6 linked regions of the Oryctolagus cuniculus genome follow. The protein of the gene in region 1 interacts with the protein of each later gene in a biochemical or structural test. Links are inferred from orthologs where the notes say so. Each region holds a gene or a part of one and is shown in the gene's direction. Other genes may lie near its edges.

What was found.
Region 2: the proteins of PDZK1 (region 1) and CFTR form a complex in vitro, tested with the Homo sapiens proteins (2 studies listed by BioGRID and IntAct, with this or other methods). The link is inferred for Oryctolagus cuniculus from reciprocal best matches to the Homo sapiens genes PDZK1 and CFTR.
Region 3: the proteins of PDZK1 (region 1) and SLC15A5 interact in a test that uses a peptide from one of them, tested with the Homo sapiens proteins (2 studies listed by IntAct, with this or other methods). The link is inferred for Oryctolagus cuniculus from reciprocal best matches to the Homo sapiens genes PDZK1 and SLC15A5.
Region 4: the proteins of PDZK1 (region 1) and CYSLTR2 interact in a test that uses a peptide from one of them, tested with the Homo sapiens proteins (2 studies listed by IntAct, with this or other methods). The link is inferred for Oryctolagus cuniculus from reciprocal best matches to the Homo sapiens genes PDZK1 and CYSLTR2.
Region 5: the proteins of PDZK1 (region 1) and SLC34A1 form a complex in vitro, tested with the Homo sapiens proteins (2 studies listed by BioGRID and IntAct, with this or other methods). The link is inferred for Oryctolagus cuniculus from reciprocal best matches to the Homo sapiens genes PDZK1 and SLC34A1.
Region 6: the proteins of PDZK1 (region 1) and SLC22A12 form a complex in vitro, tested with the Homo sapiens proteins (2 studies listed by BioGRID and IntAct, with this or other methods). The link is inferred for Oryctolagus cuniculus from reciprocal best matches to the Homo sapiens genes PDZK1 and SLC22A12.

Annotation. Positions count from the first base shown.
Region 1 is NC_091438.1:49,176,844-49,181,063, forward strand, and holds the start of PDZK1 (Na(+)/H(+) exchange regulatory cofactor NHE-RF3), read left to right. Parts: upstream 1-1,420; 5' UTR 1,421-1,507; intron 1,508-4,220. UniProt on the Homo sapiens protein: A scaffold protein that connects plasma membrane proteins and regulatory components, regulating their surface expression in epithelial cells apical domains.
Region 2 is NC_091434.1:153,028,876-153,033,091, forward strand, and holds the start of CFTR (cystic fibrosis transmembrane conductance regulator), read left to right. Parts: upstream 1-1,416; 5' UTR 1,417-1,426; coding exon 1,427-1,677; intron 1,678-1,976; exon of another isoform or gene 1,977-2,076; coding exon of another isoform or gene 2,077-2,129; intron 2,130-4,216. UniProt on the Homo sapiens protein: Epithelial ion channel that plays an important role in the regulation of epithelial ion and water transport and fluid homeostasis. Mediates the transport of chloride ions across the cell membrane.
Region 3 is NC_091440.1:114,128,641-114,132,579, reverse strand, and holds the start of SLC15A5 (solute carrier family 15 member 5), read left to right. Parts: upstream 1-1,139; 5' UTR 1,140-1,194; coding exon 1,195-1,555; intron 1,556-3,939. UniProt on the Homo sapiens protein: Proton oligopeptide cotransporter.
Region 4 is NC_091440.1:68,018,553-68,021,471, forward strand, and holds the end of CYSLTR2 (cysteinyl leukotriene receptor 2), read left to right. Parts: coding exon 1-327; 3' UTR 328-2,419; downstream 2,420-2,919. UniProt on the Homo sapiens protein: Receptor for cysteinyl leukotrienes. The response is mediated via a G-protein that activates a phosphatidylinositol-calcium second messenger system.
Region 5 is NC_091437.1:63,391,444-63,394,943, forward strand, and holds part of SLC34A1 (sodium-dependent phosphate transport protein 2A), read left to right. Parts: intron 1-1,151; coding exon 1,152-1,221; intron 1,222-1,442; coding exon 1,443-1,610; intron 1,611-2,630; coding exon 2,631-2,747; intron 2,748-2,863; coding exon 2,864-2,988; intron 2,989-3,500.
Region 6 is NC_091432.1:6,862,480-6,865,904, reverse strand, and holds the end of SLC22A12 (solute carrier family 22 member 12), read left to right. Parts: intron 1-20; coding exon 21-144; intron 145-252; coding exon 253-368; intron 369-1,089; coding exon 1,090-1,304; intron 1,305-1,541; coding exon 1,542-1,650; intron 1,651-1,778; coding exon 1,779-1,982; intron 1,983-2,324; coding exon 2,325-2,397; 3' UTR 2,398-2,925; downstream 2,926-3,425. UniProt on the Homo sapiens protein: Electroneutral antiporter that translocates urate across the apical membrane of proximal tubular cells in exchange for monovalent organic or inorganic anions. Involved in renal reabsorption of urate and helps maintaining blood levels of uric acid.

The DNA of each region.
Region 1 (4,220 bases):
ACGTCCTAGTAACTCCTGCAACCAAGCATGGATGTCGAGTAGCACGTTTTGTGGCTAGCTACAAAGCACCCTTTGATTTGAAGAGAAGGATAAAGGATTGCCAGGATTCACTCAGCCCAGGGTCATGGTTAAAAAGCACTGATCTAGGCCCAGACTGCTTATGTCCAAATGCTGGGCCTAAAAACAGTTATGGGACCTGGGTGAGTTTCTCGGGCTCCTGGGCCAGGTACAATGCCCAGCGCTTAATAGGCGGACACATTTGGCCAGTGCTTTGTGAGCACCCATGGCAGGTTAGGCATGGCAGGGCAGAGGGAGATCACTAGAACAGTCTTCAGCTGCTGTCATGGACAGATACAGTCTCTAGAGTCGGAACAGCAGCCTTGACACCAGGTACCCCTGGGCAGATGTAGTGCCCTCTCCAAAAACGAGTTTGCTGATCTATAAAATGGTGATAGTGTTGTCCTCCTGGGATGATTGTGGGGGTTACGAGAGGTCACCTAGGTAACAGAGTGGCACACAGCCAGAGCTCAAAAACAAAATAAAGTTAGCCATGATTATTATTATTATTATTATTATTTAGAATTTATTATTTGAAAGGTGGAGTTACAAATAGTGAGAGGAAGAGACAGAGAGAGAGGTCTTCCATCCACTGGTTCACTCCCCAAATGGCTGCAGTGGCTGGTGCTGGGCAGATCCGAAGCCAGGAACCAGGAGCTTCTTCTGGGTCTCCCACAAGGGTGCAGGGGCCCAAGCACTAGGACCATCTTCTACTGCTTTCCTAGACCATATCAGAGAACTGCTCCAAGAGGAGCAGCCGAGACTCGAACCGGCGCCCATATGGGATGGAGGCATTACAGGCCGGAGATTAACCTACTGCGTCGGCCCAGCCTGATGATTTATAGGGGTTCTTCACATTGAAAGGAATATACAAGGTCCCAGGTACATCCACATACACGACTGTGTTTAGTTCTTAGAAAGCACTGAGCTGTTATTTAATTTATCCTGTGTACTAAGCATACAGAGGCTAGGAGAGATCTTGTGACTTCACAAAAATCACACTTGCTCCGCGCAGGAGCTAGGATGCTAAGCCAGGTTAGGAGAGTCTTGATCTTGGAGTCTGGTGTCTGTCCTCGCCCAGAGCTGCCACCCAGGAGAGCTGTAGTAGCAGCAATCAGGTCAGAAGCATAATCCTCAGGACTAGGAGAGGGGAAATTCTGAATGAGGCGTGCGGGAACGGGATTCGGTGGGTGACGCAAGGCGGGGAGTGGGGCATTTGGCTTCCAGGACTGGCTTGGCACCGGGAAGGCGCTGAGAAGGTCATGTCCCTTCTCTGGGCGAGCTTCCTGAGGGCTTGGTGCAGCGGGATGGGGGTGGGGGTGACGCGGGGTAGGGACTGCTTCCAAGAGCGCACGCGGGAGCCGGCTCGGCTCGCAGGCTCGGATGCGGCGAGACACTCAGCGGCGTGGCCCGGCCTCGCGGTACCTAAGGCCGAGGGAGAGCGGAGCGTGTAAGCCGTCGTGGGCCCTTCTTCGGGGCTGGGGGCAGCCGGGGGCAATGGGGCCAGGGTGCGCTTCCAAGAAGTGACCTTGGCGCCCCGCAGCGGTAGCACGCCTCGGTAGTGCGGGCCGGGCCCCGCGGCTTCTGCACTCTGACCGCTAGAGGGCGCTGCCTTCCAGCCGCAGCCGACGCGACCTTGCACCTGCGCCCGCGCGGGTCAGCGGCCAGGAGCGCGGGGAGGGGGTGTGTGTGAGCAAGGTGGGTCCCGGGGATGCAGCCAGAGGGAACTGGCTTTCTGAAGTGGGGCGGGGAGGGGGCCAAGGAGTCTGGGAACTTGCTGAGCTCCCTGCGTCCTAGAAGGTGGCGATGCCTGGAGCGGGAAGGAGGGTGCCGATCAACTTGGCATCCTCACCCCTGAGTCTTCCTTGGGGCCCCTGAACTGCTTTGGATGAGGGAGAGAGGGGTTGAAGGGGCTATGGGCTCTCAGAACCGTGAGGCAGCTGGGCAGGAGATTGCAGAGGACAGCACACTGCCCCCTCCCCCAGCCCTTTGCGTACTGGTCCTGGAGTCTTCACGTGATCTAGGACGGGTTACTTTACCAGGCTCAGCTTGTGTTTGAAGCTCCCTGGCAGGACTTCCGAGGTGGTTAAAAGTTAGAGGTTTGCCCAAGGTTTTGTGCAGAGTGTGGACTGTCTGATGCGACAAGATAGTGAGAAAGCAGCTTATTCCCCCTGGAACCAAAGCCTGGATCTAGCCTCTCAGAGGAGCCGGGGGTCAGCTTTGAGTTCCACGGACACCTCCCGGAGTCCGCATCTCATTTGCAGCTGTGAAGGGACTTCCCACCCTGCCACCCTCCATAACCCAAGTAGAACCAGGCTTGTGAGCAAACAGAGCTTCTGCCCTGACCCCTCTCAACACAGCAGAGTGGGGCTTCTTGGCTGGGGTCCCTCTGGTGGTCTGTTGAAGTCCGTGGAGCCCCCCTCTCAGAATAACATTTGAAAATTCATGAAATAAAATACAGAGGATAACAAAGAAAGCAAATCGTCTTAAGACGTTAGAAGCACGAGTGACCCAGGAGATCCATGCTTCTTAAGACCCAGTGCTGGCCCAGTTACTCCAGTAATTTCATAGGAGTCATGAGCATGAATGATGCTTGGCGAACTCGGCATGAACTCTAATGAGATTGGAAAATACCTGCGATTTCTATCAACGGCAAATTCTACTGTGATTTATTGCCTACATTCATAATAGAAGCAACTGCTACCTTTCACGTAGAGACAGGTGAAAATACAGATGTATTTTTCCTCCCAAACTCACAGAGCCCAGGAATGAATGTATTTATGGTTAAGGATGAATGAATGAGTCATTCTCAGTTAAGAACTGCTGCGGTCCAGGCTCCACGGGTGGCACAGGGCGGGGGTGGGGGAGAGGGAATGAGGCAACCATGCCTCCTGATTCTTCGGAGGAGGTCTTTGGAACTTGAGGGAAATTATCTCTAAGCCGTTTTTTTTTCCCCCAGCCCAGAATGTCTGGGTTTACTCTGCTACACACACTCCAGTGGCTGGGAGCCTGCCTTGCTGTATCTATCCCCAGGGCACACAATCTTAGGTCCCCCTCAGGGCCACCTCCAAGCTCCACGGAGCCTTGAGGGTGGGACTGTCCCAGCCCAGGTCTGGAGGGTTGATCTGGTAGAGGGTTGATCTGAATCTTGGAATCTTGGTAACTTTCCCCCCTGGAGTTCTTTCTCCTTCATCTCCTCTGTAGTAACAAAAAGATGACCCCTTGACATTCACCTGCCCCTCCCCAGCGCCTAGCAGAACAAAGTGCCTGGAGGAGTGGGAAGACTCCTCCACGCGCTCCCTCAGCCGCTCACCATTCAAGGAACCTCAGGATGGGCCAGAGAGTCCACAAAGAACATGGCACCGGCCACCCTCACAGGCAGCCCTGGTCCCCCCGGACTCCGGAGGGCAGGGAACTTTCCCCTTCAAGAAGCAGCTTTCCCGGGGACCTCCCTGAAGCCACCCCGCGGCTCCGACCCCGGGTCCCCGCCAGGCCTCTTTACCTCGGAACAGAAGTCTTCTTCCCTCTCTCCGCCTCCGGGCTCAGGCTGAAGGAGCTCTCAGCCCTCAAATTACTCTTTGGTCTTTTAAGCCCCATCTCCCCACTTCCGTCATCGCTGGCCTTCATCACTGTCACCGCCAGTCTTTGAAAACCACAGACCGGGTTTTAGCAGTCAGGGGTCTTCCTGCCTCTCTTTCCCCCACCCCCACTGAGGACTCACCTCCTCTCTCCCCTCCACCTCAGCCTCCAGTTCCTCCCCTCCTCCTCCATCCCCCCTCCTTTTTATTATTTTTAAGATTTATTTTTATTTATTTGAAAGAGTTACAGAGAGAAACAGAAAGACAGCAAGGTCTTCCACCCGCTTGTTCACTCCCCCATAGCCAGGAGCTTCATTTGGGTCTCCCATGTGGGTGCAGGGGCCCAAGCACTTAGGCCATCTTCCACTGCTTTCCCAGGTACATTATCAGGGAGTTGGATCAGAAATGGAGCAGCTGGGACTCGACCCTGCGCCCATATAGCAAGCAGGTGGAGGCTCAACCTGTTGTGCCACAGTGCCGGCCCCTCTTTTTTATTTTTGCATTAGAAATAGACTAAGATCCCGAGAGGGCTGAGAAAAAACACCCTTGAAATTATCTTCTGTACCTTGAGGCGTGGAGCTTGGT
Region 2 (4,216 bases), on another chromosome or scaffold:
GTTTGGTGGCTGGCAAAATGTAAACAAAATTACATGGGTGATTTGACTAGGGGCAATACTATATGCTGAAAGGAGAGATTGGAAATAGACCTGAGTTTGATCTTGGCTTTATCATTAGTGGCATTTATTTAACTCCTCTAGTCTGTTTCCTAGTTGAAGATTGAGGATAACAACACTTACTCACATGGTGAGCGTGAGGTTTGCATGAAATGATGTGCAGCAAATAGTAAGAACTCAGGTGACTATTTTATTTATTCTTTCCAGAGGAGGGAGATTGGTTGAAAAGTATTTGGGGTCTCCTTGAGCCATACTCATTGGTCAGCTTCTGTAATCTTGAAGTGGATTCTTCATCCCTTCATTGTCATTGCTCATTGATAACAACAAGGAAATAATTGCCAATTGTTTTCAACATTTGTGTCTTACATTTGATGGGTCATGCTAGTAGGGAGAAAACAGACTTAGGATGGTGAAGTGGATGAAGTAAGTTCACTCACACTCCTGAGAAAAGTCAATAGGGAAAACAGAGCCTCAAGTTTTGTGATACTGGAGAGAGGAAAACACCAGCACAGTCTATGAAGCAAGGGTCATGAATTAGAAATGCTGAAATTCTTTCCCGATTCATCCTGTCATCATTTTGTTCCATCTCTTTGCTCTTCTATTCTCTACTATTAAAATTCAGTGCAATAAAATGTGAATGTTTCTTAAAACCCACTTTAAGATAGAAGGGAAAAAAGATGACATTAAAATGCAAAGGAAAGTGATCAAAACCTGCGGAACACATTCATGAATTGAAATGTATGTTCCTTTCTATCATTATGCTAGCACTTTTTTTTTTTTTTTTTGACAATAGAGTTCAGAAATTAAAGGCTTGGCTCTTTAAAATCCACACGACAGGCACCCAAACCTGGGAAGGAAGGCGCCCACGCTTAGGAAAGGGTAGGTGCCCTCAGATTCAGTCAGATCAAAGTTAATGCGCCACCTTCGCTTCAAAGGCTGCCTGGATTCCTTCCGGCGCAGTAGTCAAGACGTTTTGCTGAACGAGACCAGGAAATCCATAGGAGGGCGGGTGAGTTTACATACTGTCCAGTCGTCACTGTCGCTTAGGCACACAAAAGCCTCCTTAGAAACGCAAGCTAGACTAGTAAAAACTTCGTAAAGACAACTAACAACTCTCCGGCGGCGACGGGCAAGGCACTAGCTGCTCTTACCTCTTTGCAAGATGTTGACATTTTCGTCCCCCCAAGTGCGTCTCCAAAGGTGTCTTAGCCGCAGTTGGAGCGCACCTAAGCCTGAAACTAACAACGCTGGGTTCTTCCCCAGCCCCGCGAAGGAGGCGCGAGGGCGAACCCACCAGGCACAAACGCAGGACCTGCCGGCTCTCCAAGGCTGCATTTTGATGCTGGAGAGAGGTATTTCCCTTTTCAAAATGCACCTTGCAAACCTTACACGAACCCGGCTAGGATCCGGGGAAAGAGGAAGAAGAGAAAGAGGAGGAGGAGGAGGATGGCACAGGGAAGCTGGCGGCGGCAGGTCCCGGGGCCGGAGGGACCTGGTGAGGAGGAAGGTCCAGGAGTCTCGCCGCGGTGCTGCCGCTCCTGCTCCCGCTGGTGGCTCTGTCTTCAGGCGTCGCCGCCCGCACCTGCAGAGCGGCCGCGCGGGCTGGGCTGCGGCTGGACGGTAGGGACGCGGAGCTGCACGGAGCGCGCGCGAGGGAGGAGGCCGGGAGTCCGCGGCGGGCGAGGGAGGCGTGGGGCGGCGCAGGCGGGAAGGAGGCGAGAAGGAAGGAGCGGCCGGGGAGCGGCCGGGGCGCGCCGGGGCGGAGAAGGCGGCTGGAGCGAATGTGGGGCCGGCCAGGCAGCGCCGGGCTTTTAACCTGGGCAGCGGGGGCGGGGGAAGGAGCAGCAGGAAAGGGGAGGTGTGTGCCATGGGGGTGGGTGGGGGGAGTTGGCGGCAAATGACATCACGGCAGGTCAGAGAAAAAGGGGTGAGCGGCGGGCGCGGAGAGGAGCAGGGCGTCCGGCAGTAGGAGCGCGAGCCCAGCCTGCCCCGGCAGGCAGCCCGGCGCTCCGAGAGACCATGCAGAAGTCGCCTCTGGAGAAGGCCGGCGTCCTCTCCAAACTTTTTTTCAGGTGAGAGGGTGTTCAGCTGAGCTGCGCAAGCACACGTGCCTACGAAAGAGGAGGGAGAGGATATGGGCAGGGTTCGGGGAGAGAGGACTAGTGTTTTTGTTCTCGGTTCTTAAGAGATGCGCTGTCATGGTTTTGAAAGAAAACGTGGATTTGGAGCAATAAGATGGAAAGCGTTAAGAAGAGATGGAAGAATAAACTGAAGCCCATTGTTGGGGTAGAGCCAAGTCTGCTTGCAACGGAAAGGCAGACTCTTAGACCCAAGTGGGCTACTGTGAAACTGTTTTCTTCGATTTCTCCAAGAAACTTATCGGTGACAAAGCTATTCATAAAGGATTCTTGTTTGCGCCGCCGTTTCCCCCATACATGTTTAATAGAAACTTGTTTTCTTGGCACTCATACCACGTGTCACTCCTGCATGTAGTAGGTGCTCAGAAAACATTTGTTGACTGAATTAAAAAATGGGGGCTGGGGTTGGAAATTATGTGATTAAACAAAGTTTTCGTTGTTAGAATCCCAAGTAAGTCTAACAAGCCTTTGCAGAATTCCATTGTTCTTCCTGTTATGAAGGAAATCAAATCCATTGAAATAGGTATATTCAAAATGCTAATAGTACCTATTATTAATTTAAGAACATCAGAATTTTGCAAAGTGTGAAACCCGGGGAATAGATGCTGAAGTTATAACCAACTGACATGGAAGAGATTGTGCTCCTATCCTTTTTTGCAAATGAACAGCTAGAAAAGCTTGCAAACTCCTTCTAATGAGATTTTTAAAAATAGAGTTTAAATTCAGAGTCTTAGGTGAAGTGTAATTAGATGTAGCGTTTCGTGTTTCAAGTGTTCTTTAGGTACCGCATCTACTTTGTTCCTGTTGCTATACCTGTGTGAGTGAACCAATAGGGGCAGCTCTCTCCCAGGATGCTGCCAGGCTCATAATTCTCCAGTGAATCAGCATGCTAAAGTATTGGAAAAGTCAACTCTGCTACAAATATGCCCATAAATGTGTGTATGAGAAAGTGATTCACAGTCCTCTGAGCTCTGATTCTCTACACGTGCTGCAAACCTGAAACCCAGGTGCAAAGGAGAGGCCATTGGCCCCTGAAGGAGATCTCCTCCTTGTGGATGGGGCAGAAGGACTTTACTCTTTGGAACTGCCTTTCTTATTGATGTTTACAGCACCTTTTATTACTTTGTAAAATTGGCCTGTTTATCTGTTTCCTATTACTTCTAAAATCACATTGCTAATTGGCAATAATTGGAGACTTTTTATCCACAGCACTTTGAGGAACCCAATTGCCAGTCAGTCTAAAAATGCAGTTTTCAGAATGAATATCCCATGGTTAATTCTAAGGACTAAGAGACTTTAAATAGCATATTGTTCATCTTTTCAATTGTTCATCAAACTTTTCAATTTTTATAGATTGGCAAACTTTAGTATAGTTTTAAAAAAGCTGTCAGGTTGATTTGGAAAGAAAATGTATTATAATGGCTATGAAATTTGTTGCGAGCATACTCATTTCTTTTCTCCAAACTATTTTATAATAAGTTGCTCTAAGAATAGGTGTGTTTTTAAAAATTAAGTTCCTACTATTAGAGGAACTGACAATCACCCAGAACTAGTGATTATGAACTTTCTTCAGGACTCTACTGCTAAAGGGCAAAAACCTCACTCTCTGCAATGGGTCAGGCAGTGCCGCTCACTGGTGAGGAGCAGCAGACTTTGGATTCAGATCTTTTGGATTCAAATCCCAGATCTACTGCTTAGTAGCTGTGTGACTTGAGGCAAATCCTGTCACATCTCTGTGTTCATGTGACTTGACCATTCAAACTTAGAGATTGATAGGACTTATGACCCAAGGGTTCTGTGATTGAGAAAATGCATGTTTATGTTAGCCCAGTAAGTGTTAGCTGCTGTTATCATTATAAATTACTACATTTGAACATTCTTTACAGTACCATGTGTCTTGTTTATATAAGGAGTGCAGTTCCTCTTTGCTGAGTATAATTCTGCAGTATAAGTCTGCATACACAATGAATCAGCCTGTATGAGAATTTGGGAAAATTTCATCTAACATGGTCTCACTAAGC
Region 3 (3,939 bases), on another chromosome or scaffold:
TAAATAGCATCACTTTACTCACAAAAGTATCCAATTTTCAAAAATCAATTGCATGATCATTCTACCCAAGAAAAAAGACAGTCTCATTAACCTTGTAGTGATGCTATAAGAAGTGATCAAAGATGGTGTTCTGCTACCAATCTCCAGGGACAAACGATGAGAATCAGACACAATAAGAGAATATAACATCCCCATAGTCATGTGTTGGATCATTATGACTTTGGCTCAACAGTTCCATTCCCTCTCCTTCCTATGTCCTTGCAACTAAACTCCCAAATGTTAAAGTGTTCTCTTTTGCTGCTGCTGCTTCTTAGCTTAATTGGTACCCCCTTGCTTCCAAAATAAAATGCTAACATACATTCACCCAGCTGGAGGGTCAGGGTGATACCAGATTCAATATTCCCTGAAGCATGTGTAGGCTGATTGCTGTATCCCTGACTGCTGATTAATAATAAGGGAGTCAAATAGTGCCTTTTGATTCTGATTTCCTCTGAGAGACTGTTCTACAAGCATAGGGTCAACTTAAAGGAAGCAAGGTTTTGCTTAATATTTTCTCCTTTCATTAGTGCACTTAAATTACTTTCTTGTAAACTCTGCTTGTTACCTAAATGTACTAGCACTTTTGTTACCTAATTAACTTTCTTATCAGAATCCCAACCAAAAATAACAAGAAATGTAATAATGATAAGGTACTCTGCCCTCTCAAAACAGATTTCCTTTGCGCTTTATCTCTTGGCAGTGTTCTGGCTTGTTTAATTAAAATATCAGAAATTATTAGACTCAAATTATTTCTTGATCTAATGCTCAAATTCTACTGAAAAACTGCATCTTCTGTCTCAGTATTTAAAATTTTATCAGCATGAGGCAGATGAGTTTCCACACATATGCAACTGGATTCATGTAATTCAATATAATTTTGGAGGAATAGCCTAATTTAGTCTCTAAGTAATTAAACAAACAAATCAGATTTGGCTACATTGAGCTACCATGAATGTCCAAATAACCTGTATCTTCTCTCCTGTGCTCCTGGATCATCAGAATGAACAACATCAATCTGCAAAAGACCTTACAAAGTTTTAGCATGGAGATGTGACATTCAAAGCAACAGTCTTACTTATTTTTTCATTAGAGGGGCAGGGGTAAAAACCGTCAAGTTCTAACTACTAACACAAGTTATTCCCAAGGAAGGTAGTCATGTCTAATACAGACTTTACAATAATTGATGAGAAAATATTCTTCAATCACAGCATTGAAAAGGAGACAACTGTAAGACATATAGGTTGTTTCTCTTCATCACACTCTGTGAAAAAAATTCAGGTTTGGGTTTGCTTGCTTTTGGTGGACCTGTGTGAGACGTTTACTTTCTTTGAAATTGTCTGCAACATGGTCCCATTTTGCACTGTCAAGCTTGGCTATCACAATTACCAGGCAGCCATACTGAACTTGTGTTTCATTGGAACTTCCATACTCACCCCAGTGCTGGCTGGATGGCTTGCTGATGTCTCTTTGGGAAGACACAAGCTGGTGTATATTTGCCTATTTCTACATTTTCTAGGTAAGTGTGCTTTACTGGTTGGATTGTTTTGCAACTTAATTGAATATTTTTGCCTTAATATTTTTATTTCTGTTATTCCCATTTTGATCTTAGCATAAAATGTGATCAATGAAGTAAGAATGCTGCTTAAATTTATTTTGATCTCCTATTACTTGAAATATGTTAGTAAATATGTATGTTTTAGGGAATTTTTGAGACCTGTGTCACTGCACTTACTATGTTCTACAATACCTATTTGCTTACATGTCTGTCCTCTGTACTCCTCTGCCCTCTGTACCCCCTTTCTCTTCCAAGCCCATATTTACAGTAAACTCTATGCAAAACAAAATCCATTTGTTTCACAACTAAGATAAAATGTGCTAAAAACATTTTCAAAGTTCATGTAGAATTATTCAGAAAAGGTAGTCTAATTAATCATATAGTAATTAAGATTGCATATTAGAGAATGACTTCTATATCTATATGCTTTAAAAAATAAGTGAGTCCATACACTACAGTATGCTACTTTATATACAGAAAAATAAATATACCTGCAAAAGTTGGGAGTGAGGTGATTGGGAGTGAATAATGCTGGGGAGAATATCAAGATAGTTTGATCTGCAATAGGCTAGAATTTTAAACTGCAAAGTTCAAATTATTCTTCTTGTACAAGAAATCTCGGAAGATATGATGGAAATAATATTTGAGAAATGCTTTTCTTCAATAAACAGGATGAACAGCTACAGAAAGAGGTTAGATAGAAACCAGAAAAATCACAGAATGATGGCCTAAGCAATAGAGAAGTGCCAGTTCAGGAGAAAACCTGTGAGAACTATTTTTAAAAACTTGGCAACTAAACAAAGGTATAAATATGATAGGGGAAGAAAAATTAACTCCAAGAGCTGAGCTGAGAACTTGTCAAGGTAATATGCTGTCCACCAATAATGACAAGTGCAGCTAGAATGCCTGTGGTGGGGGCAACTGATGGGGAAGCAATGGACAAATATCAGGGACCCAACAGAGTATACAGCTATAGGGCACTGGTGTTCAGGGAATTTGTTAGAGTGAGATTCGAACTTGTACACTTCTCTGCTTAAGTACCGTGAAATAAAAACTAAGTTGCTGAATGGCAAATACTCAGTCATCATTCCGCAATTATTTCCACTTGATCACTCAGCACCAGGATTATTGCAAGTTTTTAAGGATGCAGCAGGGAGGAAAGTACTCTGTTCTTGGCTGAAGGTGACTTTGTGGTGAGGGAAGAGAGAATATGAACAAGTAAATAGACTATGACAGATGGTAGTAAGTATTAAGATGAAAAATAAATCTGAGAAAGGGGATAGGATGGAATGAACAGTGATAGGCTTGCTATTTTGTATCAGAGAATTATTTCTGATGAGAAAACATTTAAGCAAAGACCTCAGTAATTCATTCTCCTTAACTTAGTAAGAGGCTACATCAGTAGCATTTGGTAACTTCTTTAACATGTTAATTCCTATCAGTCTTAAATTCCTGGGCAAGGAAGCAAGCTTTAGCTTAATGGTTCAGATATCCATCCATATCTTGTATCAAAGAACCTGGGCTTGGTTCCCACCAATGTGAACTCCGGGAGGCATCAAGTGATGGCTCAAGTAATTGAGTTCCTGCCAATCATGTGCAAGACCTGGATTGTGCTCCCTATCCTGGTCCTGGCCCTGGTCCTGGTCCTGGTCCCGGGCCAAGCCCAGCTGCAACAGTTGTGGCCAGGACAAGGATGGGATCTCTCTCTCTCTCTCTCTCTCTCTCTCTCTCAAATAATGTTTTTAAATGTTTATTTTCAGATACTGAAAGGAGTATGAAAAGAGAGAGAGAGAGGAAAAAAGAGGGAAAGGGAGAGAGAGAGAAAGAGAGAGAGAGAGAGAGAGAGAGAGAGAGAGAGAACAAGTGTGAGCACTAGCTCTTCCATCTTCTGTTTTACTCCCCAAATTTCTCCAGAAACAGTCAGGGCTGGGCCAGGCTGAAGCCAGGAGCCCAGAACTCTTTCCAGGTCTCCCACACGGGGATCAGAGGGCCCAAGTGCTTAACACATCATCTGTTGCCTTCCCAGTGCATTAGCAGGAAGCTGGATTGAAAGCAGAGAAGCCAGAACTCAAACCAGCACTCTGATATGGGATGTTGTAGTCTCAAGTTGCAGCTTAACCTGCTGTACCACAACACCCACCTCTCAAATACATTTTTTAAAAATTAAATTCCAAGGTAAGTTGTCAGACCAGGAAGGAAAGTCCCAACTTTGGAATTTGGCAAACAAAAGTGCAAAGCCAACTCCATATCCATGCATTTTCCTACTAAGTTATTTCTTTGTATCCCTAGATCACATCTGCCATGAAATTCCAGACAGATACTAAATATCAGAAGTTCTAACAGAA
Region 4 (2,919 bases), on another chromosome or scaffold:
CGGCTTTCTCACAAGAAGGCACTGATCACCATCATCATAGCCTTGATCCTCTTCCTCCTGTGTTTCCTGCCCTACCACGCACTGAGGACCCTGCACCTGCTCACGTGGGAAGTGGGGAAGTGCCAAGAAACATTGCACAAAGCCGTGGTCATCACACTGGTCTTGGCAGCTGCCAACAGCTGCCTCAATCCTCTGCTCTACTACTTTGCTGGGGAGAACTTTAAGGACCGACTAAGGGCTGTGCTCAGAAAAGGTCATTCCCAGGAGGCAGAGACAAAGTTCAGCTTTCCTGTTTGTGTGTGGCTGAGAAAGGAAGCAAAGGTGTAATGAGTTACTGGGTGATGCCTGCTCATGCACCATTGTGTCCACCTCCATGCACTTGACATCTCCAAATGACCTGGTGTTTACAGCCTTCCCAACAAACATCCAATCCCAACATGAACTTGACCATGACTTTTGTTGATAAGACCTACTTCAAAGTGTCATTAGGTATATTTTCAGTGGTTTGGGTCTGATGAGGGATACAGGAAGGAAAAGTCCTACAAGTCTTGCTCCCTGAAATGTCAGATTGGGAAAAAGTGCCAGGAACAGTAGGTCCTGCTTTTCATCAGATCCTGTACCAGATCTCTGGCCCTTCGAGCCTTCTACATTCGCAACCTGAAGGCATACTCTATATCCAGGGTTCTCCCACTCCCCTTCCCTCCTCAACCCCTTGAGATACAGCCAAATAAGAAGCCCCTGGAGGCCCCAGTGCAGATAAAATGTGCTTCCTAAGAATACAGGGACAGACTTCGACTATGAAAAGAAAGGCTGCCCTAGAACAAAGCAAGCCAAGGCCCCAAACAAGGACAATGAGAGGGAAAGGGTAGAAGGATTGAGGCAAGAGAAAGCTGGTTGATTGTAAGTAGGGGAAGGAGGACTTCCATTTGGCTCTGGAAGGTAAGAATGTTCCCTTTGCCACTCTTTTGTCTGAGGAACAGAAGGGATAGGAGGAGTAGAAGACAGACCAGGGCATTTATCTAGGACCGGAATAGGGAATAGCTGGCCCTGCCAAAGCAAACACAAGCAAGACTCAAAATTCATTAAATCTCTAGCAGGCTAATTTTCCAGTTGATCATTTTGTATGGTCCTTGAATGATGTTAGAAATATCCAAATGGCCCTTGGCAAAAGTGTTTCCCCACCCTGCCGTAGGGCATGGAGGCATTGTGTGTGGAACATGGGAGATGGAGGGTCGAGGATGCACATTGCCATTCTGCTTTCAGATTTGGGTTTGGACTGACTTTGCTGCAGTTCTAACTCTTGCCAGTTAATCATTTGTGATGGGGGTCCAGAAGGCTCTAAGGGTTTGGGTTGGGCACAACAGGAAAGGGTAGGAAGGAGAACAAGTTACAAAGGTTGTTGTACTTCTATAAACATTTTGAGTAGTATGATGATACCTTCCCTTTTGATAGAATGTAGAAAAGCAATAGGTAGTGGGAGGAGATCTTTTTGTGCACTGTCACAAGGATAAGGACACCTCCAACCACCAACACCATGACATTAGATTAAATCAAGAGGGAGGACAACATGGCATAGGAGAAAGGGGAAGAGAATTCCCAGATGTTAGTGTGTAGCAGGGTCACACAGGTTGGAGCAGGAATCCAAAAGGACTGTAGGAGGATGTCTCCAAGGAAAATAAGAAAATACTTGATTTGCACACCTTCAGAGTGATTTATATTTCTTTTGGAGAGTTCGTGATGAACTAGTGATCAACACAGAAAAGTAAGCAACTGAAAATTTAATGCAGTTATCAGATACAAAAGAAAAAGAAATTGCTGTATAACAGGGAACATTTAACCATACACACTAAATGGATGAGCTGTGAATAATATTTACAGAGAATAATGTCAACAGGGAAACACTATAATATTTTTCAGAAAATGAGGGGAGGAGATTGTGTTGAGGGAGAGGTGTAAGAAACCTAAGTTCCCATCTTCCATCATCAATAACGCATAACTAAAGCTGGGATGATGCAGAGTTACACGGGCAAGTATGTAGCAATAGGAGGAAAACACCAGAAGAAGTAGCAAAAAGAGTGGACAGAGATTGCCTCTGGAGAGGAAGCAGGGATGGGAAGATAGGATGCAGACTCTCTTTTCCCTTTTAGAGATGTTTAGCTGTCAACCTTGTATTGCTGAAGTTAAATAAAAATTCAGTTAAAGCTAAAATCAGCTAAAATTCAAATTAGTAGACCAGGATAAGTACCTGGCTTCTGCCATCGGATCAGCGCGGTGCGCCAGCCGCAGCGCACTGGCTGCGCCGGCCATTGGAGGGTGAACCAACGGCAAAAGGAAGACCTTTCTCTCTGTCTCTCAATCTCACTGTCCACTCTGCCTGTCAAAAAATAAAAAATAAATAAATAAGTAAAAAAAAAAAAAACACACACAAAGGTGCTGGTGCTGTGGCATAATCGGTTAAGTCACTGCCCATAGGCTCAGCTGCTCCACTTCTGATCCAACTTCATGCTAATGACCTGGGAAAGCAGTGGAAGATGGCCCAAATCCTTGGGCCCCTGCACCTACATGGAAGACATGGAAGAAGCTCCTGGCTCCTGGCTTCGGCCTGGCCCAGCTCCAGCTATTGCAGCCATTTAGGGAGTGAACCAGCAGATGGAAGATTTCTCTTTCTCTCTGCCTCTGCCTCTGCCTCTCCTTCTCCCTCTATGTAACTCTGCCTTTCAAATAAATAAATAAATCATTTTTTTAAAAAAGGAAGAAAATAAAGGCTTCTGGAAATGAACATGGAAGACTGACAGGAGAAAGGAAAGTAGACAGGACTACAGTGGGTTTGGGCCCTCAAGGAGAAGGGAGGGAGTCCTCCCTGGGGTGTTGGGAGTCACTCCCTGCAGTCAGAGGTGGTTTGCTATGTCACTTAGGATG
Region 5 (3,500 bases), on another chromosome or scaffold:
CTGGTTTTCCTATCTAGCCCATTGGAGGTCATTTGCCCTTGGTTTATGGGCCTGCAGCTCAGGCCTCCAGGCTTGGCAGTACCCCAAGGCCTAGTGGGGGTCAAGTTGGGAACACACAGCGCTCTCCCCAAGGCAGCATGTGCCACGCAGGTGAACCCTAACAGTAGCAAGCGGAATGTCATCAGCGGTTCTGATGGCTGCCCTATGACACAGGGCTCAGAACAAAACCTGAAGGAGCTATGAACGCTGAAGTGCCAGCCCCTACCCTCGGCACCGGGGGAGGGCCCTGGGGGGGGGGGTGCTGAGCTCCCCGGGCAGAGATGGCTTCAGTGCCCAAAGCAGCTCCCAGAAGAGGCGCAATGTGAACAGGAGGAAGCTACAGCTCTTGCATTTTGCTTGGGGCCCCAAGACTGCAGGGAGGGGGCACTAACGTGCAGCCCTGGGAACAGCTGTCCATTGTGGAGAGGATTCCCTAGCAGTGAGCAGGGTGTCTGCCCATCTATGCCCCGCCCACTTTCTATTGTCACCGCTGGGTTTTGCTGGGCTCCTGGGGGGCACCAGTGACAAGACCTGGGCCACATTTTCTATAATGACTCCTTGACCCAGTGGGACTACAAATTAGTGGCCCGTGGACCAGGCAAGGCTGCCATACTGCCCCCTGCACTGTGAAGATTGGGAGATTTCACCTAAGGTATCAGAGCCGTGGCTTCCGATGGTGACGATGGCTTGGAGCTCAGGAGCTGCCGCCCCCATAGACCCAGCACACACACACCCACCTCCTCCTCTCCTAGCTGAGCTCCTCAGTTAGGCATCCTGCCCACCCTGTGGCCTCTGCGCCCGTCAGCAGCATCCAATGCCACTGAGCGTGGAGGAAAGTGGAGCCCAGAGCTGCTGGGTTTGGGAACCTGCTGGCCCCCAGGGAGCCAGGCCAGAGGGGTGATGGGGCAGACAGACTGTGCAGAGGGCCGGCCAGGCTCAGCTTCTCATGGGGCAAGCATGCTCAGCCACGTTTCTTTAGCAAAGGAAACAGGCTCAGAGAAGGCAAGTGACCTGCCCACCGCCGCAGAGTCAGGAAACCCCGTCTCCCCCGCCCCCACTTCAGTGCCAACCCCAGACTGCGTTTTCCTAAATCCACACTCCTCTTAATCTAGGCTTCCACCTCCATGGCCAGGGCAGAGACCAACATCAGCCGGACCCATGGAAATGCCACCATGGAGAAATGTAAGTGCCTGCGACACGGCAGGTGTCCCCCACGGCAGGGTGGGGCCGCCCCAGCCCAGCCACTGCCGCCTCCAGCCCCAGGAAGGGAGACTCAGGCCTTGGTCTGGAGGCCGAAGGAGCCCAGAGTGGGACCTGAGGCCCAGAGCCAAAGGGGTGGCCAAGGTGGGCAGTGGGGGCTGCATGTGGGGCCAGCTCCCAGAAGCTCAGCTACTCCCCTGCAGGCAATCACATCTTCGTGGACACGCAGCTGCCCGACCTGGCCGTGGGGCTCATCCTGCTGGCCGGCTCCTTGGTGCTCCTGTGCACCTGTCTCATTCTCCTTGTCAAGATGCTCAACTCCCTGCTCAAGGGCCAAGTGGCCAAGGTCATCCAGAAAGTGATCAACACCGGTGAGCAGCAAGCAGCGAGCGGCCCCTCCAAATCCTTCCAAAGCCATGTCCTGCCCCTACCATCTCCTGGGCCTGTATTTCCGCACGTGAACACAGAAGGGATCAGACCAGGCGATTTCAAAGTCGCCTGGAGGGTGAGCCTCAGGGCCACCATCCCGGCAGGTGCAGCTTCTCAGAGGCTGTAGACAAAGTCACGAAGCCACTTGCAGGATGTGGGGGATGCAGAGGCTGCTTTCAGGGGCTCAGAGCCCAAGAGGGCAAGGTGGGAACGCAGGATAATCGCAGAGAACAAGGAAGGTGGCTGCCAGGGAGACAGCAAAGATGGCAGCTGAGGAGTGCGGCACAGGCTGCTTTGATGGGCAGCGGCCTCTACACGCGGTCAGGTTGTGGACCAAGAGCATTCTGGGTGGTGGGAGCAGCAAGTGCCCAGGCTCGGGGGCAGGCTCGTGGCACAGAAGAGCGGCTAGCAGCACGGCAGTAGAGGAGACTTCAGGGCATGGCCAGAGAAGTGAGGGGGCCGGGCCAGACCTCAGGGCCTCGAGGCTCTGCTCCCAGCCTGGCAAGGGTAAGGGGAGCCATCAGGGGGTTGGGGCGGAGGCGACATCATCCGACGTTCATGGTAAGCTTCACTGTGAGCCTTGGGGACACTGGCCCTGGGAGTGGCCTGTGACAGGCGCTGGAGGAAAGGGCACTGTGGTATCGTGGGGGCCCAGAGAGGGGAGACACCAAGCCTGCAGGTGGGTGGGGCCAAGGAGGGCTTTACTGCCAGGTGTCTGGGCCGTGTCCTGAGGATGCACACTCAGACACTGAGTAGGGTCTTGTGGGGAAGCTGCGGGCCCGGCCAGGCAAAGGCATGGCGGCCTGGGCACAGCAGGTGGGAAAAGGCCTCTCGTCCACGATCAAGAGTGAGTGGAGGGCACTGAGCAGGGGCCTGGCCTCGGACGCCTGCTGCCCAGGGCAGGCCCTGCTCTCCCAGCCCCCTCTGCTGACTCGGGCTGCTGGCATGGGCTTTCCTTGCAGACCTGCCTGCCCCCTTCACCTGGGTCACGGGCTACTTCGCCATGGTGGTGGGAGCGGCTATGACCTTCATTGTCCAAAGTAGCTCCGTGTTCACCTCGGCCATCACTCCACTCGTCGGTGAGTGCCTGGCCGAGCCAAGGTGGGGTAGACTGAGGACAGCAGGCTGGTTGGGGGGGAGCTTGGGGAACCGCATCCTCTTCCCCTACCCCACCCGGCCCCCTACCCCCACCCAGGCTTGGGAGTGATCAGCATCGAGCGAGCCTACCCTCTCACACTGGGCTCCAACATCGGCACCACCACCACCGCTATCCTGGCTGCCCTGGCCAGCCCCCGGGAGAAGCTGTCCAGCTCCTTCCAGGTATGTCTGGGAGTGGCCCCGCCGGAGAGGCAGGATGGGGCTGGGCACGGGACCCAGCGTGTGGCCACAGGTAACAACTAGGTTCTGACTGCCTATTAAGAGCCACTCGCTATGCCATGTGCAAACCAGCATGGCCAAAGTCAACCTGATTCCTCCCCCAAACACATCAGCACATGGCAGGGAGAGAGACACTGCTCAGTAATCTCACCACGAACCCTGGCAAGGGGGATTGCACCAGGAGCAAGCGGTGCTGAGGCAGACCTGGCTCAGTCTGGGAGGAGAACAGTGGGGGTAGGGGAAGGGTTGGGTGCAGATAGCAAAGGGGGGCTGTTCTGGAAGCAAAGGAGTGACTGGCAACTCACAGCCTTGAGCCAACCAGAGTCCAGAGAGATCTTGGAGCTGCTGGGGATCAATGAAATCACTTGGGAGCTCCCGGGAGAGGTGACAGCGGGGGAGTTCAGGGAGTGACAACATACAGCTACTCAGAAGCATCTCAAGTCTTCAGTGCAGCC
Region 6 (3,425 bases), on another chromosome or scaffold:
CCACAGCGCCCTCACTCCAGGTGGCTCCCGGAGTCGGCCAGATGGCTCCTCACCACGGGCAGGCTGGACCGTGGCCTGCGGGAGCTGCGGAGGGTGGCCGCCATCAACGGGAAGACGGCAGCAGGGGGCGCACTGACCATGGAGGTGAGGCAGGGCCGGGCGCCCCCAGACTCTGTCCCTGCCACCGGAGGGTCTGGGGAGGAGGGCCTGCCCCGGGCTCCCGGGCCAACAGCGCCCCCGCCCGCCCCGCAGGTCTTGCTGTCAGCCACGCGGGAGGAGCTGAGCGGGGACCCAGCTCCGGCCCGGCTCAGCACGCTGCTCCGCACGCCGGGACTTCGCCTGCGGACTTGCATCTCCATGCTGTGCTGGTGACGCCCCGCCCCCGCCCCGCCCACCCCACCCCACCCCACCCCCCGCCCAGGCGGCGCCCTGGTTGGCCTGTGGCCTGTGACCGACTGAGTGCCCCCAGCACGAGGCCCACCTCCCCTGGATTTGTCAGGCTTCCGACAGGGGACAGGGGATGGGGGACAGGGGACGGGGGACAGGGGACAGAGGATGGGGGACAGGGGATAGGGGACAGGGGACGGGGACAGGGGACAGGGGACGGGGGACAGGGGACAGGGGATGGGGGACAGGGGACGGGGGACAGGGGATGGGGGATAGGGGACAGGGGACAGGGGATGGGGGACAGGGGACAGAGGATGGGGGACAGGGGACGGGGATGGGGGACGGGGATAGGGGACGGGGGATGGGGGACGGGGGATGGGGGATGGGGTACAGGGGACGGGGAACAGGGGATGGGGGACGGGGGACAGGGGATGGGGATAGGGGATGGGGGACAGGGGACAGGGGACGGGGGATGGGAGATGGGGGACGGGGATGGGGGACAGGGGACGGGGAACCCCCCCAGGCCGGCAGAAGGAATCCCGGGCTTCGTGCTGGGTGGGTGGGCAGCCTGCAGGAGGGGCAGGGGTGGGAGGGCCACCTTGGCCAGCGGGCCTGGGAGCCACCGTCCGCCGGGCCCTCCCCGCCCCCCAGCCCCCGGGGGAAGAGCGCCCCTCCCTCCCCACTGACGCCGTCTGCCCTCAGGTTCGCCTTCGGCTTCACCTTCTACGGGCTGGCGCTGGACCTGCAGGCTCTGGGCAGCGACGTCTTCCTGCTGCAGGTGCTCATCGGCGTGGTGGACGTGCCGGCCAAGGCCGGCGTCCTGCTGCTGCTGAGCCGCCTGGGCCGCCGGCCCTCGCAGGCCGCCTCCCTCGTGCTGCCCGGCCTCTGCGTCCTGGCCAACACGCTGGTGCCCCATGGTGAGCGGGCAGGCGCCAGGGCCAGGCCTCCGGGCAGCGCTTCCAGGCTGCCGGGGTGGGGGGCAGGGTCAGGGGCCCCGTTAGGAAGTCGCTGCTGGGCCCGCGGGAGCTCCGGGGAGCAGCGGGCAGCACAGCACTGGGCTGTGGGCGGCGAGGCGGAGGGGGACACCCCGGGCCGGCTCTGGGGGTCCCTAGCCACGGACCCGACACCCGCCCTGCTGACCCGTCTCCCCACAGAGATGGGGGCCGTGCGCTCAGTGCTGGCCGTGGCGGGGCTGGGGTCCTTGGGGGCCGCCTTCACCTGCATCAGCATCTATGGTGGCGAGCTCTTTCCGACGGTGCTCAGGTGAGGCAGGCCCGCGGGGGGGGGGGGGGCAGGCCACCTCCCTTCCCCGTGGGCTCTGGGCTAGGTGGGGGTGGGGGTCAAGGCTGTGGGCGGCGCAGTGACCCTCACAGGCGCATTCGCCCCGTCAGGATGACGGCCGTGGGCTTGGGCCAGATGGCAGCCCGCGGGGGAGCCATCCTGGGGCCCCTGGTGCGGCTCCTGGGCGCCCACGGCCCCTCGCTGCCCCTGCTGGTATACGGGACCGTGCCTGTGCTGAGCGGCCTGACGGCGCTGCTGCTGCCCGAGACGCGGGGCCTGCCGCTGCCCGACACCGTGCAGGATCTGCAGGGCCGGTGAGTACAGCTTCGACCACCGCGCCCGCCGGGCACTCCCAGGACAGGGCGGCCCGGCCACGCAGCCCATGACGGGGGAGCAGACGCCCCGACACGGGCACAGCACTGGTGGTGGAGCGGGAGAGGGGAGGCCCAGCTCGCCCCAGGTCCACCTGCAGACGGGCCCAGGGGGCTGTGAGGGGGCAGCCCCCAGGCTGTGATGGCTGTCGCTGGCGGTCCCGGGCCTCTCCACCAAAATCCCCAGGTGGGGAGCCAGGGTCGTACCCCCAGGTGCTTAGGACAGGCACAGGCCAGGGGTCGCTCTGCACCCCCAGACACACCCGCCCCTGTCTTCCCCAACAGAGCGGCGGAGAAGGCCACGGCCAGCGCCGCGGGCTCGGCGGGGACCTCTGTCCTGAAATGCACGCGGCTCTAGCCTCCCGGCGCCACGGACCGCAGCGGGAGGCTGCTCCACTGCCCTGGAAAAGCGGCCTTGGCTTCCAGGGGCCCAGGACCACCCTCGGGCGTCTCGGGCGTCCTGCTCCCCTCCCGCGACTGCCCCCTCTCGTCATCCGCAACCCGGAAGGGGCAGTGGCCGGCTGCCGGGCAGGAGGCTGCCTGGCCCAAACTCACCCCAACCCCTGACCCCTCCTGGCTGCAGGGAGGAGAGGGGCGGGGCCCGGGGCAAGCCCCTCCCCCTCACTGCCCCACCCGCCGCCTTGCCAGCTTGGAGCTGACCTTACAGGACTACGGCTCCTCAGCCCCACCCAGGATCCCAGTGACCTGGTCCGCCCCCTCGGGCCCCTCCCACCTTGTACGTGGCAAACTCCCCTCCCCCTTCCAGGCCCGTCCAGCCCTGACCCCTCCCACCCTCCAGCCTGGGTGTCCCGAGGGTCAGGCTCCCAGGCAGAGCTGGCTCGGGGGCTTTGCTGGGACAACTGAGTAAAGACCAAGTACCAATGACCACCTTCCCCTCCTGGACTCCAGGGATGGGCTCCCGGCGGGCGGAGCGGGGTGTGCGGGGGCTCCCTGCTGGACAGAGCGGGGTGTGCTGGGGGCTCCTGGTCTGAGGGTGTGGGGTGGCTGCTGCTAGCTCCCAGCCTCTGCGGGGCCCAGGCACCACGCTGGGCGCCTCAAAGCGTCATCTCATTCCGTCTTTCCCTGAGCCCTGGGAGGCAGGTGTTGCCCCACTTCATAGATGGGATAAGCGAGGCTTAAGGAAACTGCCCTGGCACAGCGCTGGGAGGGAGCAGAGCCAGGGTGCACGCTCTGGCCTCGACAGCCCCGGCCTGCCCTCCAGCCTCACAGTCGGGGCCCACGGTGGCACTCCCCCGGGCAGTGACGGGATTCCCTGTCCCTCCGAATCAGCCAGGAACACGCAGGGCTCTCCGGCCCCGCCCATGAGGAGCCACGGAGCAGGCTCCACCGAGGTGTGGCTGCAGCTGGCGCTGGGCGGCACCCAGC